2 linked regions of the Kluyveromyces lactis genome follow. The protein of the gene in region 1 interacts with the protein of each later gene in a pairwise test. Links are inferred from orthologs where the notes say so. Each region holds a gene or a part of one and is shown on either strand. Other genes may lie near its edges.

What was found. The genes of interacting proteins can lie anywhere in the genome.
Region 2: the proteins of SLA1 (region 1) and INN1 interact in a two-hybrid assay, tested with the Saccharomyces cerevisiae proteins (2 studies listed by BioGRID, with this or other methods). The link is inferred for Kluyveromyces lactis from reciprocal best matches to the Saccharomyces cerevisiae genes SLA1 and INN1.

Annotation. Positions count from the first base shown.
Region 1 is NC_006037.1:445,853-450,291, forward strand, and holds the start of SLA1 (cytoskeletal protein-binding protein SLA1), read right to left. Parts: upstream 2,936-4,439; coding exon 1-2,935. Other genes in the region: 2-hydroxy-palmitic acid dioxygenase MPO1, read right to left, coding at 3,738-4,259. UniProt on the Saccharomyces cerevisiae protein: Component of the PAN1 actin cytoskeleton-regulatory complex required for the internalization of endosomes during actin-coupled endocytosis. The complex links the site of endocytosis to the cell membrane-associated actin cytoskeleton.
Region 2 is NC_006037.1:996,813-999,817, forward strand, and holds INN1 (Inn1p), read right to left. Parts: upstream 1,812-3,005; coding exon 645-1,811; downstream 1-644. Other genes in the region: KLLA0_A11550g (uncharacterized protein), read right to left, coding at 1-339; THO2 (Tho2p), read right to left, coding at 2,076-3,005. UniProt on the Saccharomyces cerevisiae protein: Required for the ingression of the plasma membrane into the bud neck at the end of cytokinesis, leading to the separation of the mother and daughter cells. Stimulates the synthesis of the primary septum (PS) by CHS2.

The sequences.
Region 1 (4,439 bases):
ATGCTGTTTGGGGTTGTACACCAAACGTCGTTTGTGGCATCAACCCTCCAGTGTTCGCTGGTATCAAACCGTTCGCAGTCTTTTGAACTGGCAAGACAGTACCTGTTGGTTGCATACCAAACGTTGTTTGAGGTGCAATCATACCTCCAGTCCTTTGCAGAGGTACTAGCCCCCCAGTCGGTTGGAATGGCATTAAACCGCCTGTTGCTACTGGCATCATAATGAATCCCCCTGTAGTAATAGGGATTAGATTATTACCACCAGTTTTGAATGGATCTAATGGAACCAAAGAAGTACCCGTCTTATTTGCTGACAGAGGGGTTTCTTCCTTTTTATTCGAACCGTTAGTGGTGACAGATTCTAGATGCTTGACATCTGGAGCTGGTGTTTCTTTCTTCTTCGGCTCTAAAGGTTGCAAATCAAGCAAATCTTGAAGTGACCCAGAGAAATCCTGAGCCTTGTTGGAGCTGTCGCTGGCTTTAGCAGCAGGTCTAACAGTCCATGCATCATCATCTCTATTCGATGAATTACTATCTGGTAATAGATTATGAGATACGCCTGCAGATGCGGGAGCACCTGTATGGTTAACCTTCAAGGATCCATCGGCTTCAGTAAACAATCCAGTTGATGGAGAAGCCTCCTTTGTTCTGCCAAACTTGTTATCTAGATACTTCATTACTCTTAAAATGTCACCTTCACGTAGACCTAAGTTTCTTAATAAAGAAGGCTCGATATCTGGCAAGATTTCTTCACTAATTTGCTCTCTTTCGAAATTAATGGTGTAGCGTTGACAATTGTTGACATCAACACCAGCATTCAAGAAAAATTCGAACCAATCGTATTCGGGATTCTTGGAGCTCTTTGTGACAGGGTGCGTTTTGCTTGCTTCACTGCCTGGTCTTGGTGGTTTCACAGGTGGCAGTTCTTTGTCTTGTGCACTCCTCAGCTTTTCTCTTTCGCTTTCCAAGAGATCTCTAGCCCTCTTTAACTCTTTAAGTTCTTGCTCTCTTAATTGTCTATCACGTTCTCTTTCTTCAAGTTCCCGTTCACGCTCCTTAGCCTTTCTTCTTCTTTCACGTTCTGCGTTTACTGCACTACTGTCATTATTTGAACTCTTGGGTTTATGTTTGAATTTCTCCATAGACATACCCGTCAATCTTTCCACATACAAAATATCATCTTCGGACAATTTGTCTGCAGCAACAGCAATTTTCACACCGTTCACCTTATGTAAGTTAACCTTCCCATCGACACAGCCCAAAAACTGTGCTTCAACTTTGAAAGTACCACTTCTGTCTACCCAAATTCTAACCTTTTTAGGATCAGGGAACTCTTTATCATCAGTTTTCTTCTTCTTGGAGAAAAAGCTCGAAGTTTTAGACTTTTTCTTCGATACATCTTGATCAGCATCCTCTTTCCAGCTGCCAACTAAATTTTGAGTAAAGTTAGAAGTGTTAGATCTGGATCTGGTCTTAGACTTACTCCTAGAAGGGCTTTCATCAGAAGGCCTTGATGAGCCTGATCCGCGTGTTTCGACAAATTGTGCGGGGACAATGCCTCTTTTACCTGTTTCTACAGATTCACACATATACCAGTCTTTCGAAGTCCTGTCATCTAAGATATTAATGTAGTCGCCTTCTTTAACGGTGAGTTCATCAGGAGAGTTAGCGAAAAAGTCATATACAGCTTTAGCTCTTTTCTTGGTCATGGCAGGCCTTGAAGCAGCTTCAACTTCACGTAACCCAACTGCTGTCTGGGCACCTTTAATCTCACCCAAGACGCCCATGATCTCGTTAGCCAGATCGTTAGAGCCAGTATGCAATTCCAAGTTAATGTAAGGGTTTTTAAATTCAAGAAATAGATGCTTTTTTTCATTGTTATAGTTGATCAAATCTTTAACTGCCCATTCTTGATCCACTTTTGTCTTTGCAGAGAAGAAATGAATACGTTCAGCAGAAACAGTCAACGTAGCTTTACATTTCTTACGACCATCAACCTCACTAACAGACCAAACATGTTCAGCGGTCGAGGCTGAAGGTCTTCCATTTCTAGATGGCAGTGGAGGTTGATCTTCCTCATCGTCATCGAAATCGTAATCACGCTCATCATCTGAATAATCTCTAGTTATTTGGGAAGTTCTATTATTGTCTCTTGGGTCATCACGATAACTTGTTTGGTGTTCAGTATTAGAAGGTCTTTGAGGCATTGCTGGAGGTTCTGCTACTGCTGACTCACGCTGGACTTCTGTGGTTGCCGTATCGTTTCTCTTTGGAGGTGGAGGGAGCAGTGAAACATCAACTGGCATAGTTGTATGAGACGCAACGCCTGCATTTGATGCTGGTGGTGGTGTCGATGTAGATGGAGCTCCTGGAGCATCTGCTGTACTTGCAGCGCCAGCAGGGGTAGATCCGCTTCTGAATGATGGTTGAGAATTGACTCTGTCCAACCTCTGAGGTGGAGCTGGAAGTTCAGAAAGGGGTAGAACAGCTGGGGCTTGGTGCTTAGACTGTGTAACTCCTGCAGCGGGACCTCCAGCTTGCTGCGATTGTTTTTCCACGTAATTACCTGGCACAAACCCAACCTCTGAATTCTTGGTATTCTTCACCAAGAACCAATCTGCATCCCTATCGTCATACAATTGGAACGTATCGTTTTCATGGAATACCAATTCCTCATTGGCATTCTGAACTTGTTCATAATCGTAAAGCGCAACTACACTCCCAATCACTGGAGCCTCTTCAATATATGTCTTGGGGACCAAACCTACGGGTTCATCCTGATCAGATCCGATAACTCTCTTCTTAACGGTCCACCAATCATCAATGCTAGATTTTTCTAAAAGATACAATAGATCACCCTCTTTGACAGTTAGTTCCTCATCTGTTTGCGCAGAATAATCGTAAAGCGCCTGGTAAACACCCAAAAACACCGTCATTGTAGGTATTTAAATGCGTCAGGAGCCAAGTAAAAGGACCTATAAGCTTCCAGATTGTATACAAGGCCAAGAGGATCCCTATACAAATCGCCAATCAAATTTAATTATCCAAACTAAATTGAAATCAAAAACTAAAAGAATGCAGGAATACGAGACACTTCCTTTTTGTCGTCTCTTTTCGGTATTATGCTATTTCCTTTTATTTCTCCGTTTTGATTGGTTTTTTTTTTTCTCTTTTGCACAATTGCAATGCAACTCGCGCACTCTATCTAAACCTCAAGAGTTTGTCTGGCCTTTCTAACCCAATTCAAGCTAAAACTTGTTTATACGAATTACTTATATATGTATAGACATATATATATTTATATATGTTCTAAGTATATTGATAGACTTATTCAATTATTTTGGGCCTAATCTTTTCTCATTTTCTGATTCTCTCATTTTCACTCAGAAAAAGAACAAATGAAAATACCGACAGCACGCAGCACCGGTTCCTGGCAGTGTGGTACAAGAACCTGCAGTTTTCGAATTGTTTTTCTGTGATCCTTTGGTTACCCGGGGTTGTGTTTCGTACATGATGATACGGTGATCCCGGATCTGGAAATAAAAAGGGGTTCTTGCCCAGTTCTAGTCATGTGACTGCGAATCGCAGAGATCTGATAGAAAGAAGAAAAAAAAGAGATCATTTCTATATCACGTGATTGATGTTTCAATTCCATCATGGGTTCAAGTATCGTTATTGTCATCATCATAGAAGTCATAAATAGAGCATATATACTGTTTAGGCGAACGGAGGTTAAGTTTATTTACTCGCTCTCATACGATCTAGCTCTTTGTCAACACGAGCTTGTAGATTCTTCTTAAGTTCAGGCATGAACCCTAAAATAAATAGTAATTCGTAAAGGATGAAGTATGGCGCTAGCACAAGACTTTGCACCAAGTTATCGAGAAGCGCAGGTTTGCGCTTCTCGAAAACACCGTGGCCAATGAACTGGAAGATCCAACTGATCACAAATAATATCCAGGCAGTGGTCTGTGTCATCTTAATAGTCCCGTCGTTCAAAAATTTGCACGTCAGTGCCAATATCAACGACGCAAGGATTCCGGTACCTACTCGTAACAGTATATAGAACAACCCAAATGACAACGCTAACAAATGAGTCAAGGTATAGCCATTCCAGATCTTAACGTCGTTCAATATACGCATGGATGTAAAGAGAATCGTTGGGACAAAAATGCTATGAATTAACACATTCCCAGTATTGTTATGATAAGCTTTGTAGAACGCTAGTTGCGTCTCTAGATCTAGAAGACTGGGACTCATTCTGAGACTTGGTAGCGCAAAACCGTAACACGGATGCTTTGCTTGTGTTTTTTGATGTTGCTGTTTTTTTTCTTATTGATTGCATTATCTCAGTTGTCTTCCCCTTCCTTAATATTTCATTTCAATTTTAACTCTAATTTCAACTTTTAAATAATTTTGGTGGCAAACACATCAACGCAC
Region 2 (3,005 bases), about 550 kb from region 1:
TGCAAGTGAATTCAATTCAACAGACTTCCAAACGACATAATATTCTCTTAGTGCTTTAGGTCTCAATTTGTTGATATTAATAAAATCCTGGTCTAGGACGTCCCTCCGTCGACAACCAAGAAGATCATTCTTCAATCGTGGCCTTCGCCTAAATATAATGAACTCCATATTAGTATCCCAGTCTGCAGCTCTAACATTAAGTTCTAAGTTTCCCCTAATGGAATTGAATCGTATTGCATTTTGACCCAGTTTTAACATGAAGTATGTTCCAACTTCAAGCTGTTTTCCGACAGTTATTTTACTGGGCAGAATTATCAATTTACCATCTTGTCGTATCATTAATCCACTGCAGTGAGGTTCCTAATTCGAATAGTATCAAACATAATACAGCAGAGTCTTCTTTCGAGTATTCTTGTGCGATTACTTTAAAGTTCTTTCTTTATATATTCTTTTCTCATCTTAGGACCCTTTGGTTGAATAATCATGCAAAAAGGCTTAGCATTGACAGAATTCAAGGTGCAACGATTGAAACCATTTTAGATTCCAAGGCTTCGAGAAGATAAGAGGAACATCTAATATGAGTAGTGATAGAAAAACTTTTAACTGTCTATCCTATCAATGATTATGTAGTTCTAATAAGTCATTTATAATGGTGGTGGTCTCCTCCTTGTTGGAGAAACCGAGCCTGATCTTGAAGAAGGCGAAGAAAAAGAATTTGGCAAGTTCGGTAGCCTTGGAGTAGTAGGTTGTCTCACAGGAGATTTTAACGGATATTTTTGTCCGGCTGAATGTCTCACTGAAGATTGGCTGGATAGTCTTGAAGGCGTAGTCGGAAGAGGTGGTAATGGCGGTTCAACAAACGATTTTGTAGGAAGGTGATTCATAGGCGATGGCTCGTCAATGTTCGTTGGTATTCTTGAGCTTGAGCTACTCTCGAGACCGCCACCTACCACTTTCTGTAAGACTTCCAAATCCATCGCAGTGTTGGTGATACTCTCTGTAGATGGTACCGAGGAGCCGTTCTTGAAATAATTCAATTTTTCTTTGATCAGCTTTAACTTGTCCATCAGCCCATCAGTAGATTGGCTTTGTTGCGAATGATAGGTATTTGCTGTAGCATTAGACCCCATCGATGAATCAAAATCTATTCTTTCACTTGAAGCGTGTGATGATCTAGAAGTATCGAGGTTTATAGGTAGATCAGGAAGTGGAGATTTTATATGAGAGCCGTGAACGTATTGGCCTGGGGATGCGGAAGCAACGAACCGCTGCTCACTTGCCGATGTCTGCAGTTCATATTGTGCATGTAACTCCGGTGGATCTGACGGTAGTGGTGGTACTGACCTGGACTGTACACTGGAACTTATTTTTGGAACATTGTCGCGTCTGTCTTCGCTAATGTTATTTGGAACAAAAGTCAATTCAATATACACCTTACCAGCTTCCAAAGGACCCCTCTTCAGATGATACCACCTATCATGGCCTTCTTCAGGGTCACTTAGTAATGCAGGCAAAAGATCAACATCGCACTTCCCAATGAGCTTCGAACCATGTTTGTGATCATGGTCATCGTACAGTTCAACGCAGAGTAGAGGCTTGATATCGGGCGTTAGTTGAAAAACACAATGGTAATCAAATTTTGGAGTTTGGCCGCCTCTGTATATCACTGGAGATATCTCCGTAAGATGAGCTACTCTTAACTTGACGAAAGGATCTTGCTTGTCTAACTTTCTTAGATTTGGAAGGTCCTTCGCTTTACTCACATAAACATCTAATCGACCATTTGCTCCGGTTATCACGTTATTGCTCATTACACTTAATGCCTATATCGATTGAAAGGTGTTAACAGTGCTTATTGACCCATAAAGAAGCTCTATTCAAACTGTAAATATGTAGTTTAGCTTGATTCAATCTTATATTTACATAGGTCTATGTTTTTCAACATTTTTCATATTGACAGTTTTACGTGGTAAGAAGCATCAGAGTCTCAGGGAAAGACCGTACAAAATCGAAGATAATTGGTAGCATATATTATGCTATGCTATTTAACTAAGTGTCGAGTTAAGTATTTTTATTCACCTCGAATATCTCGATCCTCCAGATTGTCTTTTTGGACCAGATGGTAATGGCGATTGGTTATTTGTAGAACGATCGTTCAACTTAGGCTTTTTAACGTTTGAGAATCTGCTTGAACTTTGGTAAGATTCATCAGATTGCCTCTTTCGTGGTTCGGAGGGAGTATTAACGAATTTCTTCCCTTGATTGAATGGTCTGCTAGGAAGCTGTGATGTGTTTGAATTGCTGATACTTCTGTTGCTAGACGAATCTTTTCTTGGGCCAGATGGTAATGTGTTTTGGAATCTGCTAGATGAACCTGAGCTTGCAGGACCAGATGGTCTTGAGGAAGTATCCGGAGGCTTAGACGCGTTGGCTGGTGCTCTTGGCAGAGTTGTTGAGGCTATACCATGTTGATAACGAGAAGAAGCTGCCTTTCTTGGTTCACTAGGTATTGGACGGTTACTGGAAGTGTTGGAGTTCCATCTTTCACCACTGTACTTCGATGAAGGTTTAACAGGTACTACTTCATCTTCATACATACTTCCAGGTGTCTTGGTTTGAGGCAAAGGAGCAGATTTGCATCTTTGAATAAAATTTTCAAAGACAGATCTGTAGTGATCAGGTGGATTACTAGTGACTCGGTGGTAATAGTCCTCGAACAATATCTTCAATTTGTTTCTAAATCCAGAGATGTTGCCTGGAGCTTTTATCAATTTTCTAAAATCACTCTGAGTGTTAGAATCGTATATCAAGGGAATGGCTCTGGTGTACTCAGCATCCTTAATGTACTTCTCGATCTTATAAAAGCCATCCATGACTTGCGATGGAGATGGAGAATTGTTGGATATGGACGACATGGATGGTGCGGTAAGTGAAGATGTTGCAGCACCGTTCTCAGCATCCTGTTGTTTTGCCTTTTCCCTTTCCTTTTCTTTCAATTCTGCTTC